2 linked regions of the Lepisosteus oculatus genome follow. The main gene of each other region encodes a partner of the protein of the gene in region 2 in a complex. Links are inferred from orthologs where the notes say so. Each region holds a gene or a part of one and is shown on either strand. Other genes may lie near its edges.

Evidence for each region.
Region 1: the proteins of gpr161b (region 2) and guanine nucleotide-binding protein G(olf) subunit alpha are in contact, whole or in part, in a cryo-EM structure (PDB 8KH4), measured with the Homo sapiens proteins. The link is inferred for Lepisosteus oculatus from reciprocal best matches to the Homo sapiens genes GPR161 and GNAL. Residues at the interface, in NP_001254539.1 of Homo sapiens: Arg125, Ala128, Val129, Leu130, Pro132, Met133, Tyr135, Pro136, Met137, Ile139, Ile211, Val214, Ala215, Lys218, Ala219, Lys267, Ala268, Thr271, Trp327, Asn328, Lys329, Arg332; in NP_001135811.1 of Homo sapiens: Ala41, His43, Lys203, Val204, Phe206, Phe363, Cys366, Arg367, Asp368, Ile370, Gln371, Arg372, His374, Leu375, Gln377, Tyr378, Glu379, Leu380, Leu381.

Annotation. Positions count from the first base shown.
Region 1 is NC_090701.1:57,018,080-57,025,501, reverse strand, and holds the start of guanine nucleotide-binding protein G(olf) subunit alpha, read right to left. Parts: upstream 3,014-7,422; 5' UTR 2,734-3,013; coding exon 2,292-2,733; intron 1-2,291. UniProt on the Homo sapiens protein: Guanine nucleotide-binding protein (G protein) involved as transducer in olfactory signal transduction controlled by G protein-coupled receptors (GPCRs).
Region 2 is NC_090710.1:23,450,405-23,458,175, forward strand, and holds the start of gpr161b (G-protein coupled receptor 161), read right to left. Parts: upstream 3,005-7,771; 5' UTR 2,411-3,004; intron 178-2,410; 5' UTR 134-177; coding exon 1-133. UniProt on the Homo sapiens protein: Key negative regulator of Shh signaling, which promotes the processing of GLI3 into GLI3R during neural tube development.

The DNA.
Region 1 (7,422 bases), on a different chromosome or scaffold from region 2:
TTTCCCAGCACTGAATAACGGCTGTGAGTCATGGCGCCTAGTGACTAGATCTTAATGGATCTCTCCTACAGCAGGTCTGGATGAGTAAAAAAAACTCAAGACCACATAGCAAAGCACAGTCCTTCGCTTTAAGAAGAACCTCCAGTTTGTGGAGTTTGTTGCATTTGAGTCAAGGCATGTATCTTCTGCGTACGGCTTCAGGAACTTCAAATTCTCCTGCCGTTGTTACAGAAATGTGTGATAAATGCATATCCACTTCTCTTGGACAGAGAACTTAATCCCTACAACTTGGAAACGGGGCTCAGATTATGACCTACTATGAGAAACCAGGATCATGTTTGATCCTGAGCTCTGTTTCGACAGACAAATAAAAGCCATCCGTAATGTCCCTTAGTTTCTCCTCAGGGACATTGTCCACGTTAAGTCCTTCCTTGATCACACTGCCGTAGAAACCCTGATTCATGCCTTCATGCCATCTCGACTGGGTTACTGCAGCGGCCTTTACAGTGGTCTCCCCACTTCCTGAAAACAAGCTTCAGCCGCTCGGCGTCGAACACATTCAGGGCTCCGTGACCACGTCACCCCAATTTCTGACACGTCGTCACTGGCTCCCCATTGCCCAGCGCACTCAGTTCAAAACTGTCCTCTTTACTTTTAAAGCCCCACTCACCACTTCCTCATAAGCATCTCCAAATACTCCGGATGTCCCAGGCAGGACCTAAGGCTCTGCTGAGGTGCACGGTTTACTAGTACCTTCTTACAGGTACAACCCTCTTGGGGCTCACCACCAGTTCCCTGCCCATCTGAGAAATGTCCTTTCGTTCACTTTCTAAATCTAGACTAAAGACGCTTTCCTCCTCTTTTCTCCAATTACTGTTTGCATTTTTCTCTTTCTTTCCCCATCTTTCTCTCTGTTCAATGTTACTTCTATTTTTTCTTGACCCTCTGAAGTGCCCCAGACACTCTTGGTTTTGGCCTGGGCACTTGAATTAATCCTTGAAATTCTTGGGGTAAATATGCACACTTATCTACAAGTACACTTATGCTTACTACCAATGAGAAGAGAACTTTGTCCCCCTGACTCTCACACACACATACAGTACAGTACAAGCAAGTCTAATACCAAGAATACTGAAATTATTCTTAAACCCACAAAAAAAAAAAAAATAGGACAAAGAGTCAGTTCTGCAGTTCTTGCAGGTTTATCGCCAGGATGTCTCGTTTAATTTATTGTAAGTGTAAGAGAAGCTTACCGGAAGGGGTAATCAAATCTCAATCTATTCCATTACAGGATTTCAGGGGGGGCTTACAGTACCACTGTTAGAGGGATTTCCAGTTAGACCTCCGGCCACCTGGGCGTGCCGTGTCCAGCCGGCCAACAGAGAGACTAGCCCAGATGAAAGCAGGGCAGGTGGACTGAAGGTCTGGGAGGCGTTATGCGCCTCAGAAAATCCGTCCCAAGGCAAATCAGGGGTTAAGGCTCAAGAAAACCGGCCACGTTAACGGAGCTGTGTGGGAAATGTCCCAGATTTTATACCGTGTCCATAAAGAGGCCTGAACTCCAACGCAGGTTTTTACTACAGGAGTGGTCCGCTGCTGCCCAGTGCCTCTCGGTGGACACCCCTGCTCCCACTATCCGCAAAACCGGCCCCAATTACGCATGGCAACGACGTGTTTTTTTTTCTCTCTCTCTCCTAAAAATCGTCTTTCGCTATCAAAAATCTTCTTAAAAAGGACAATCGTTTTGAAAATGCTTGTGTGCGCAGGAAAAGCTAACGAGATATAGTGCTCCAATGTCAAACGAGGGCCCCAAGATACGCGGTCAAAACCGCTGTAACGCCGAATACTGTTTATTTGAAAGTGTTATCATCGCGTGTTTTATTTATAGAGTATGGAGGGTTTTTTTTTTAATATCTGCGTTTTGTTTTGTTTTTTACTAAAATTATTCTACTTCAATTTGTAAAAAATAAGAAAAGCCGCTGACACCAGCATCAGCGCCTGGTCGGACAATGGTGGGACAGTCTTTTCTCGAATGACATTTCACGGCTCTATTATTACTTGAACCCAGGGAGGAAAACAATCTTTCAGTAAAACCCTTGCCGTTCAAATGGGTGGGTGGGTGGGGGATATTTTTCTCTCCAGCAGCGAGTAAATGAAATTCTAGGTATTATTCATCATTGGGAATATACACAGCAGTATATACAACTGTATCGTGCAATTCTTGACAATACACAGTGGGGGGTCACAGTGACAGGCTACAGCTGTTAAAAAAAATTGTGGATCACACCTACCCAGTAAAAGCAGCCGGTGGGTCTGCTTATATTCCCGTTTCTGCTCCTTCAGAGCTCTGTCAATGCTTTTACTGACTTTTTTGGCTTCCTTCTCGGCCTCCTTCTCCTCCACCCGCAGCCTGTCCCAGCCTTTCTGCTGCTTCTGCGTGCTGTGCTTGTGCAGCAGCTGGAGCTGCCGGCTGCGCTCCGCTCCTCCGCCGCCTCCATTCTGCACCACCACCACCCCGTCGGTGCCCGTGTCCCCAGCCGACAGCTTGCCGGCGTCCCCCCGGCGGAGCGGCGCCGTCTCGCCGTATCCCCCCGCGTCCCCGTGTCGCAGGTCCCCGGCGCGGAGCGGCGCGGTGGAGTCGGGCGGCGGGTCCGAGTCCGAGGTAGTGGCGTTAGAGATGGACCCACTGGGCTCCCCGAAAAGACGCGGACGCAGGCTGTAACACAACCCCATGGTTGCCCACCCCCCCCTCCCCTCTAATGAGGTTTTTCTCCCCCCCCCCAATTTATACAAAAATAAAATGTAAAAAAAAAAATCCTCTTTCTGTTGTTGTTGTTAAGCCGACAATCCCAGCGCGGAGTTTAGCGATTCATTGTCACGCTGTAGCTCCAAAAATACGATTTAAATCCGAATCTGGGTCGAAAAGGTGAGTAAATTATGCCCTCACATTTGCTATATGCCATGTTTCATTTTCTCTAGTCAGTCAGCTTGTGTTCCGTAGTTGGTGGTGGATCACCTGATCGCTCAGTGGACACTGCTGGTCCACCTTACCGTAATTAAACCAAAAGCGCCTCCACTCAAAAGCAAACCATCAGTGATTGCGGTAATGGCGAGTTAGAAATACCTCCTCCACCTCTCTCCCCCCCAGCCACCACCCCCACCAAGGACAGAGATGATTAAAATTCAGGCTGTCGGGCTTATTTAAACATAAATAGATGTGAAAACTTTTTCAAATCAGAAGTGAAAGCAGTATAGAGCCTGTACTTTGCAACATTACATTCAGATAGTAAACAAGTATATTGTATGATCAATATGAGTCACAAGAATCTGGCTCTTGGTTAACATCAGCACAGATGTACAGGTGCACTGTTGTAAAAGCATGAAAAGGAACAAGCAAAGGTTTATTTCATGCTGTTTTTTGAAGTTATTCCTAGAAAGAACGAGCCAAAAACACCCCTCGGACCATCAACTCGAGCAGGAACTCCCGCCATAACAACTGCATTCCTTTAACACACTTCCTATCCCCAGGATGTTAAGATTAAAGATTAAGATCTCTCCAAGCCCATTGTTTCTCATTTCACTTTTGACGGCCATGATCACACTAATCTCTCTGACTGTGTTCTCAAAGGTTTTCCTAACTCCTACATCAGAAAGACTACAGAAACTCAAATTATCCTGCAGCTAGGATCACAGCTTTCCCCTTCTCTCAACAGAAGACTAATTTTCTTCTCAATTCTCTCTATTCATTGTATGTTTCATTTCACACCTCTCTACACCTATTCTGACTTCACACCTCTTGATTGGCCTCTCTTTCTGTCCCCTGCTCCCGCCCCTCGCTCCTCCTCTCTCCCAACCTTTGTTCTCCCGCTACTTTACCTTTGCTTCCTGCCTTGTCTCTCTCACACCTGAAGAAGGCTCCACGGCCGAAACGTTGTATTTTCTTTCTTCTCTTTTCAGCAGGGAATAAACCTTTACTTGTTCCTTGCAGCCAGCACATGCTGACGGAGCTTCCTACCTGAACTGACTCTGAGCCAGCTGCTAACTGATTTAAGATGCTGTATATTTTTATAACCCCTTTGCTTTTTTATTTAGCATGAATTATCTACCAATACGTCTGCTGGATGTTATAGGTTTCCTGCCCAGATCGATCAATCACCCACGGCCTTCTTGTATTTGTTTTATTTCTAAAAGCCGGGAAGAATCTCCAAGTTCCTTAGGGGGTCAGATTTCCACAGGGCCTGGTAAAAAAAAAGAGTTGAAATGGGAGATGAAACAAGCCATCGAGTTTCAGAAGAGAAAAAAAGGCACTTCGCGTTGTGGCACGAGGAGCTGAGCAGGAAGTGCCCCCTGAGAGACGAGTCTCGGGTGAGACAGCGGGAGCAGGGGGCTGTGTCAGCAGGGGCACAGTTAAGGGTGCTCCATAGCCTCACTGGTCAGCTTCTTCTCTTTGCCTTTCAGCACGGAGTGAGCCTTTAAGTGAGATGATCTGAACGGGCCCATCAGCCCCTCTTGTTTGGAATCCTTTCGATACTAAGCAATACCATAAAATATTTTAAAACCGACTGAAGAAAGCCTGGTACGTGCTTTATAATGCACTTGGGGCTCCCTGGATGTTTGACAACACCTATTTCTGTATTCCACAAGTTTTATCTTTTCCTAAATATAGGTTCTGGCAAGAAGACCACTCAGTTGACACGCACCTAGAAATGGTCTAGAAGTATTTTTACAGTGCAATATTTTGCATACAGTGCCTTTGTAAAGCACTCAGACACATTGTTGCTTCCAGTCATGGCACTTTGAAATAGCAATTTATGTTTATTAAACTGCATACACAACCTGCTCCATACTTCAAAAGCAAAAACAAAAATATAAAAGTAAAAAGGTAATTAATATGATGGAAAATAGGAAAAACTGTGACTGCGTAAGTATTCAAATCCTTACATTTACAGAATTACCTGAATACACCACACATTCAGTTGAATGGTCTCTGTCTGTGTGCAGGCATAGTGTTTCACATGATAACAGAACAAATACATGTCTACCCCAGGTAATGTCCCTCAGCCAGGCAGGGCAAAGACACGATATTAAAGACTAAGGAGTTTTCAAAGCCAGGGATAAAGTTATTGAAAGATACAGACCAGCAGAAGAGTACAACAAAATCCTGAAGTCTCTGAACATCTCACTGAGCACAGTTTACTCAGTCATCAAGAACCCAACACTCACCCACTGAGCAGCTGGGCAAGGGGGAAACTCGTGAGGAATGCAGCTGTTAAGTAACAACATCTTCGGCGTTCAATCGCCGAGATGGGAGAAAATGTCCAAGACTGCGTAACCCCCCGGTCCCTTCACAGAGCAGGCCCGCGTGGCAGGGTGGACAGAAGAAAACCGTTACCAGAAACAATCTCAGAGCCCGCATTGGGCTTTTCAATAAAGAATCCGAGGGATCCAGCAAAAATGTGGCACAAGGTGCTGGGATCAGGTGAGACCTACTGTAGCTGGGATTTTTGATCTATCCCCTCACTCTGTGGTTGGAACAGACCCAGCGGACCACATCTCCCAGTCAACACCATCCCTACAGTCAAGCATGGTGGTGGCAGCATCCTGCCATGGGCATAGTTCTCATTAGGGACTGGAAAGCTTGTTAGAATGGAAGGAAACATTGGTCGAGCAAAGCACGGGGAAATACTTTGGGGAAAACTTTTTTTTCATGCTGCTTAGGAAAATGCACCAAGCACAAGGCCACAGCTACAGTAAACTGTCTCAAGAATGAGAAAGAGACTGTCTTTGAGTGGCCCTGACTCCTGACTGGAATCCTATTGAGGATTTGTGCAAAGCCCTGAAAGCTGCTGTTAATAAGCAATCCCAAAGCAACTTGAGAGAGCTCGAGCAAATCCGTCTAGAAGAATGGGCACAAACGGCACCAAGTCTTCGTGCGCTGTCAGTAGAGACCTACCCAAAAAGACTTCTGACTGCTAGTGTTACAAAAAGGTGCTTCCAACAAATATTGTGTTCACAGTTTTAAATATACTGTAGATACGTGCACATTTTATTTTTTCCATTAAATGTTGCTGATATTTACTGATATTGCTGATATTCAGATTTTGAATTGAATATTAATTTTAAAACAAACGGATGCATAGACATTTTTAATTTCACAAAATGGAACACCATTGGGTAAATGGAAAGGATATGAATACTTTGAATCCAGATTTGGCTTGAAATTGTAGATTAATATCAATACAGGATATGAACATAATGTAGTTCAGGTGGGTAGCTGCGTCAGCATGCGTAGGCTGCAAAGGAACAAGTAATAGGTTTATTCCATGCTGAAAAAAAGAAGAAAGAGAACACAACGTTTCGGCCGTGGAGCCTTCTTCAGGTGTGAAGACCTTCACACACCTGAAGAAGGCTCCACGGCCGAAACGTTGTGTTCTCTTTCTTCTTTTTTTCAGCATGGAATAAACCTATTACTTGTTCCTTATGAACATAATGTTTCTACCATTACTACTGCTGTTTTAGGTCTAAGAGTACAAGTAAGGAAGATGGTAATTAAACGTGATTTTAACAATGCATATATGATTTATCAACAAAGATCAACGTAATTTATCTTGTTCTTATTTTTCAGCTTTAAAATGTTAATGTGAAAAAAATTCTCAATAGCTTTTCTGTCATTTTCCTCATTCTAGTTTATGTTTCTGTACTTTAAAATGATACAATTGCTGTAATGCGACCAGAATACTTGTGTAAATTCCCATACTGTATATTTATGGCAGCCAACCTTTGTACATATAGATAACCAAGCAGCTTTAGTGCTTACTAAAGACCACTAGCTACCTGTCTCATTATCACACCCTTATCATAATTAATCATGTGAAAAGGGCTTTTACTTCATGGACATATTTTTAACAAGAAAGAGAATAAATTACAATTCTAAGTACTAAGTACAATATTCAATATGAATTAATTAAAACTCTTAAGTTGTTAATAAAGCAAATCCCCCTGCCAGCTGGAGCGACACTGCGGAGGAGTGATCTGGGCTCTGGACTTGCAACTCAAAGCTGTGGGATTTGGTCCCATGTGGACTGAGCCCGAGAGCCAGGTACTTCACTGGGAGCGGGCCATTGTTCACTGGGAGTGGGCCATTGTTCACTGGGAGTGGGCCATTCTTCACTGGGAGCGGGCCATTGTTCACTGGGAGTGGGCCATTGTTCACTGGGAGCGGGCCAGTAAAACAGCCGGCTGCAAAAATGGGTACTAATGTCAGACACTTTGGGTAACAATAATTACTTGTGAATTAAGAGCTTCAGTGGACTACTATGCTTACGTCTTCACAATGCTGTATTTTAACAGTTAAAAGTCTTGATATCATAGAAATGGAAACAAGCCCTGTAGGTGAATTTTGATAGTACTGTAATGTTGTGA
Region 2 (7,771 bases):
CCACAATCAGTAGGTTTCCCAGGAACACGAGCAGGGTGATGGCGATGATGAGGAAGGACTCTGCGACCATGGCCCCACCACCCTCCAAAGCCGAGACATTCTGTGGGTGCGCCCCATTGCTGCTGCTGTTCATTGTGGGAGACTGGCACACCGTGCAGGGGGAGACATCCTTGGTAACTGCCAGAAGAATATTCAAAACCTTAGGCCAACATGATGTGAGACCAACCCCAGGTGTGACAGAGATTAATGGTTGTTTAACTCAGTTGTGTTCTGTATTTACACTGAAGGGCCTCATCTATTTCAGGAAACGGGAGTCCAAATGAGACCTGCAAAATGTTAATAGAACTACAACAATGGCAAAAAATACCAGCAGCGTGACTGGTCAACAGTAAACAGGCCCTGCAATTTTTCCACAACATATTCGTTACACTTCATGCACACCTTGTTTAAAAACGTTAGAACAAATCACTTGCCAACACGTCTAATTTAATCGATTAAATGAAAGTGGTTTATCCAGACAATAACCCTAAAATAACTTATTTTGTAAGTAGTACATAGAATCCGGTCAACAAAAAAAAAAACAACAACACAAAAGCCTTTTTCTTTTTGCTGGCAACCGAGGACTTTAGTCTCTCATTTCTCTCGCAAGAACTAAAAGTCGAGCGTTTTGCAATAAACGGTGTTATTTATCTTTGAATGCAGCAGTTGCATATTACTGCGTCCCAAGCACTGATTAGGACAGTAATAATAGGCTACATCCCAAAGGCAAATGGGGATCTGACTGGGCCGAAGGAACTTCAGAGCCATAACACAAATCACGTACTGTTGTTCTTGATGCACAGCAAAGAGCACACCTTATTCAGTGTTTTTATGAATTTAGACTTATTAATGTTAGTAGAAACTGAAACTATAACCTCGCTAGTATTGAAAGCTCATGCTGCTTAAAAGACGAAATTACTAAAATCAGTGCAGCAATGGTTCATTTCATATTTGTGCACTATCTGATAAGATCTTATTTTATCTCTTTGTGCTCGGTTCCACTATAGCAGAAATCGCAAAACACCACATCCACCATACACAACTGTTGTCGTTATTTGGTTTGCCAAAATTATGACATTGTAATGCGATTAAATTCCACGTCTCCTAGAGTGATAGGTTATGTTATTTTCATCAACGTTAAAACTGGAGCACATCGAACTACTCTGGACTGCAAAATAGTCTTTAAAAAATAGCGTCTCCTAATCCGGCAACCTCAAGGGATAACGCTATTGCAATAACATTTCAAGTTTACAATAACATTTGAAGATTTATAGAATTATCAGCGTCAACGTGTTTCGTGTTTCTAAATTGAAATAATTATTTTGATAATACAGGGAAAGTAAGCAAATTTATGAAGAAGCAGTTTAATTTGTGAATTCTAAGAGCTAAAGCAGATCAACAAAACCGATTTAATAAAGAAGAATTACAAACCATTCTGTCTTATATCATGAAAAGAACAACATAAACATCGCCGACTGGGCGATTTTGTACAAAAGAGCTCTTTATACGCCCCTCAAAAATGTATTGGGTGCACTCTACAAAATCAAGGCACCGGTAGAAACTACAACTGCTCCTCATGGTTCGGCTCATTTTACGAAAAATGCAAAATGATTTCTTATATCCTCAACACAAGGAAACAGTGAGTAATCATTAGAAGTTTTGGGAAAATGGGAACGTTAAAGTAGGTCAGTGGATGGAACATCCACTCTAATGTCTTTCTCAGAATTATCTCCCACTTATATATTTGGAGTTACGTCTATTTTTACTCACAAGACTCCCTGAAAACATCTGCTTCATTCCTCGAATTGGCCTGGGGATTTCCTCAAGTCTAGCCACTCGCTTCCTCTCTAACCAAACCAAACGGTAATAAAGCGAGCCAGTCTTTTTTAAAACCGACAGAGCCTGGCAGAAGATTGCCTTTGCCTTTAAATCGTATGCATTTGTACTTAGTAATAGGTAAAAGCACTGTAATCACAGTTGTAAATGTAATCACAAGACGGCACTCTTCTGTATCGTCTCCGTTCTGTTCCGTGAATTAATGAAAACGACTTCAGTGCGCAAATTTAATTTATGACCGGTTTTCGTTTTTGTATAATAAACGTTCTCACCGAAAGACGTTCAAAAAGTAAAAATATCTAAAACCTCAGCAGCAGAAAAAAACTTGCCCATACTGTTCATACGGAGCTTGGTTCCAATCGAAAACCAAAATTCACCCATTATTAACCTCATATAGACACGATGTCTTTGAATCGGCTGCAAAATCTTTTCTGCACTAGGTTTTTAGCCACGAGAAGGTCCTGCAGCTTTGCCTTTGTCTGCTCTACACAATACACAGCCTCCTCGAATCCCCCCTGAAAAGTTTTTTTCTCACCGTTTCAGTCTGGCTGTAGCGAACTCGCATCCTTTCTGCAAATCCGATGCAAACAACCCTCACTCCGCGTGTTTTCGTGGTATCGGGAGAGGAACTTTATTCTCCCTCATTGCCAGATCCTTTGCTTTTCTTAAATCAGCTGATTGAAATCCAGAAGGGCAGTTCGCGGCTGCAATGGCGTCCGCCTCTCTTTCTCCGACTCCGTACTTCTCTCACTCCCATCTAGGCTAGTTCCCCACCGCACTGGTTCAGTTTGTGGGTGGTCTGGCCCGGCACTAGCCGCCGCCTCAACTCCAGCTCACCTCTTAAAAAAACCCTTAGCCCGACGCAAGCTATAGTTACCTGCAATCTACGGTTTAAAATGGGGTTTAATTTTTTTTTCTCCCCTTTTCGCTTGCACTTAAATTCCGAAACTCAACTTTTCCCTTTGATATCTTACATTCAAGTCGTTTTTTCTCATTGCATTCGAGTGCAAGTAATGTTTATCGAGGGTGTGTAATTAGGGGCATACATGCATGTGCACCTCGATTTTTTTAACAAAAACCTAACGTTTGGCTGCTAAACACCAACCCCGAGTTCTTTCAGCACCTTGGACCACCAAGGAAGATCAAACATTCCCGCAGCGTTATTCACTCTCATCATATGGGGCGATTTTAGCCTATCAAGCTTGAGGGCGCTGAAGCCGCAATGGAAGTCGCCATTGACATAGGAGACAAAATTTGGTGGGGACTGGTCATCATCGAAAATTGACAATACCCGATTTTCAACCAAAGGGGTTTCTTTGGTAGTCCACGAACGTACCAAAAACTACATTTGTGTAGCATTTTCGCTTAAGCCGGAAAAGTGATATGTGGCGTGCTGAAAACCTGACCATATCGCAAGAGCAAACCTGGTTTTAAAATGGTGGAGGCAGACGACGAAATTGCCGTTTCAGATTTTTTAAATGAATTGTAATAATAGGGAAAGCCTTAGCTGAATTTACAGGTATCCTATAAGCAGTTATATAATAAACAGTTACTTCTCAGTAGAAGCAAAGACAATCACATTTCTTGTTTTCAACGTGTCACCGATTTATTTCTTTATGCACACACACAAAAACAAACCTAAGTTAATGATAATATATTTAAGACACACCACTTTATAAAGTCATGTTTGGTTTTGGTATTTTTGCTGCCCACAGCAATCACAGTTGTTCTAAACGTTAATAAAAGCAATAAATGTGGATGGACGATCTGGTTGTTGTAGAAGCAAGGTTAATTTCTTCAGGAGAGATGCAGGTCCTTGCTAATTTTTACATTTTTAAGTGTTTTAATAAAAAAGGAGCCGAAAAGCAGCACGGAGAAGGTCTTCAGTGGAAGTTTCCAGACATCGTTCTGAAGAACTTTGGTCCAGTGAGTTTTGTGTATATCCATTAAATAATCGGTTTGTAAAGTCCTGGAACACTTTGATGAATTACACCTATGTTTTGATTTATGAGATAATTGAGGGATCATTCGGACCAAGAATTAGACTACCCATCAGCCCTCAAAGACCAGGCCAGCTTTTACTTAGTACCAGAATCTTTATTTAATTAATCAGAAATGTATGTTTTCACCCAATTCCTAACTGCTTCACCTATTGTAGGGTTGTGAGGGAGCCAGAACCTATCCCAGCAAGTAACACTTACAAAGCAAGGTACATCCTGGACAGGACACCAGTCCACCGCAGGGCACACACACACACACACTCATACCAGGGCCAATTTTCCCAGAAGGCAATGAACCTGCCAGTATGTTTTTGGACAGTGACAGGGAACCGGAGCACCTGGGGGAAGACCATGTGAACTCAGGGAGAACTCTACATAGACAGCACCCCAGGTCCAGGACTGCCCTCAGGGGCCCAGCACTGCAAAGCAGCAGCACTGACCACCACCACACAGACACATGGGCAATTACTTGCCGGGACAGGCTCCAGCTTCCCCCGCAACCCTTAAGTGGTTGTGAAGCAGTTAGAAAATGGCTGAATGGATGGATGGATTTTAGAAAAATAATACCATTTCAATTTGAAATGAGTCTTCCTTTATCAAATGATTTTAGTTCTTTCATTAATGGTTCTTTTTAATCACATACTGTAGTAACACAAAACGTGTCAGTGTGTGGCTCTCACACCTGAAGAAGGCTTCACAGCCAAAACGCTGTTTCCTCTCTTCTCATTTCAGCACGGAATAAACCTATTACTTGTTCCTTAGTAACACAAAAGCTAGCAAAGAACTCCACCAAGTGGCAGTCCCACAAAGAGTATCCTTAGGAAATATCCTTGCCATGTTCACATGAAGTGTAACTGCTTTTTACAAGAGTCATGCTTTAGAGGCACAAAATGTAGAAAGTTGTGCAAGGGTCCGAAAACTGAGTAACATTTATCCTCCTAGCAACTGTGACTGGAACCTCTTGTTTATTTCAGCATGTTAGAATGATAAATGGCTTTATGGTAATCATTTTAAAATGTATGGACATCAGCATATTTGTCACAGGTCTCCTGAAATAAAGTCATGTTTCTTACGGATTCTTAAATTGTAAACATCTAGCTCTAGAGAAGTCAAGATGCTTATGTTCTAGCCTACCATTTATAGTGTTACCCTGTTATTAGTGATACTTAAAAACAGCAAGCTACTCCATGGAAAATGGACATTTGGAACAAAACATACCTGAGAAATGATAAATTGCCACACAGTAGAGGAACAGATCTCCCAAATGTGCGGAAACTAAATATATATCAAGTGGTTTCTTCACACTGTTTGCACTGTCAGCTATGATTCTCTTAATAAAGGAGCATCTTCTATTTATGTTCTGAATGTCCCATAACCTGATTAACAAGAGTCTTCAGTCTTTGTTTATTTCGTAGATTGATATGATCAATGCTTTTCAGGGCTTTTGAATACCTCCATCAAAGCAGCATGTTGACTCCTTCCATGGTTAAGAGATTCATTTCCTTTCTTTTGTGTTAGGAAGACATTGCTCTCAGTTCAGGAATTAGTCTCAGTCTGGCTGCTCTCCCTCATACGATGGAGCAACAGTGTATTTCTTAAATTGTGGTGATGTAAACTGAACACATTGTTGCCTTTTCGTGTTAACCACCAACCTTTTTAATGTTTAAAATGTACATTCTTCCAGCCTGTGTGAAATTTAACTACTTTTTTCTTGTCTTTCTCTTCTTTCATCAGATGCCAATTTCTCCTCAAAACCTACCTGTCCAGGCAGAGCTGGTAGATTTCATCAGCTACTCCGACCTTGAAAACAACAGTATATCTCTCTCCATTGCAGCCACTCCATTTGACTGCACGTGTTGTGATCGGTGAGCCTAAGTCTAAATAAAGACCACAGCATGTTGTAATATGATATAATGTCTTACATTTGGGTAATTTCAGTTAGTTTTCCTGTTATGTACGATAGTGCCCTGGGTTATTATTTACAAACATCTGTAAGCTATAAATACTGCATCGTCTTTGTAAAATTAAATAAAATCTCTCTTACCTGGAAGAAGGGGCCTTGAAGTGAGAAATGACGACAAAACTATGGACTCACAAGGGCCCAGAATGTACTTGGAAAAGAAGGAAGTATATCCCGAAGGTGGAAGGTAAAAATGTGATTCTCCAGAGAAACAATATGTACAAACGTATCGGGAAAACTAGACCACAGTTTAGATGATAATTTCATATTTTTTAAGACATTTTCATGAGGATCATAAACCAATACCCTGAAATCAATGAGGACAAACTACAGTAGATAATTATGAACTAAACGCCTCTTGTTAACATTTCTGATATTTCTTGTTCATCCCAATGATAATTTTTTTGAAGATGTGACCGAGAATGGTAATTAAAAGACATATTTTCATTAATCTCAGCTTACATGTCAGAAAGGTAAAATTGATTTTACATTACAATTACCCCTTAATTTGCAACTTTCTTTCCTTTTTTGTATTTATTTTAACTTGACAGTTAGCTAGTTCTATAACTCTCTTCCCTTCATTCTGCTCTTCTTTTATTTATAAAATTAATACATTTTTAAACCTTGGTAATTTTCTTTTCAGTAAGATGCGAATAGACAATTCTATGACTTTTTGTTTTGTCTTAAAAGACAGACTACAGATCTTTTTGTTTTACAGCTATAATTGCTGAGGAATTATAGTATTTATGCAATATCTTAGCAAAGTAGTGGTCTTTAAATTAAACAGCAAGTAGCATGATTATGCAGAATACAATGATTTACTGTTTAAGTAATGCAACTTTAGTTTTTGTTCACATATTTTTCACTTTTGAGACATCAGTTTCCATTTGCAGGGTATGGCAAAAATGACTTCAAACACCTCCATCAGTTCAAGGTATGGAAGGCAACCCCTTTCATCTGCACAAATGCAGGAAGAGATTGTGAAACTTAGTGAACTGGAAGCTTACACTTGTGAACAAGAAATATATTCACAGGCACAAAAAGTTAATATTTTTAACATCATGTAGAAAAGTATTATGCTGCATTTTTGGATTTTGAAATGCTGCTGCTTTCTTTTTCAGTCACTGTTTTATGATTCTTTTCTCAAATGTGTTTTTTCCATCCAAATAGTTTTTTGTTGTTTTTGTGATAGTGAGTTCACAGTTATAGGTGACCAAATAAAAATAAAAACAACCAATAAAAGGCAGAAAGGTACTATATATAGTCAGTTCTTTTAATTGCTTAAGTCATAGGGGAAGGTATTGGGAAAAGCACATTTACAGCAAAATTAAATCTAAAAATATCTGTGAATTAAAACATTGAAGTTTAATACATTAAAACAAACATAAAAATAAAGTCCAATGCATAAAACTTGGCAAATGACATGGTGAAAGAGCATATTTTTAAAGTATACAGTATCTGTATTTAAAGAATGTAAAGCAACATACAGAGCAACCTGGATGCTAATAAAAAAAGTATGGTTCTGAATAATTTACAATAAAACATGTTTTAAAATAAAATGTGTACACAGTACAATTAGACAATACAAATTGCATTTCACAGTAGTTCTTATCAATACGACCCTTTGAAGCAGTACATTAGTTCCTTTTAAGTAAAATTATGGTAGGTCTGCTACATGCATTTCATTAGTAATAAATATACACTGTAAATACCTTAATCATGTCCTATCAGACCTGCAGGTCACTGTATTTCACAAACTTCTTGTATATATTGGGCTATCAATGCTATGTAGGGATATTTTAAGTGCAAATTGCTGTGGTATTCATCATTATCCCATTTAAAGGCCTAACTCATACAGACAGCCCAAACAAAAGCTGCAGGGAAAAAAAAAACAGGACTGACTGTACACAACCTCTTTTTTACTTTATTGGACTGG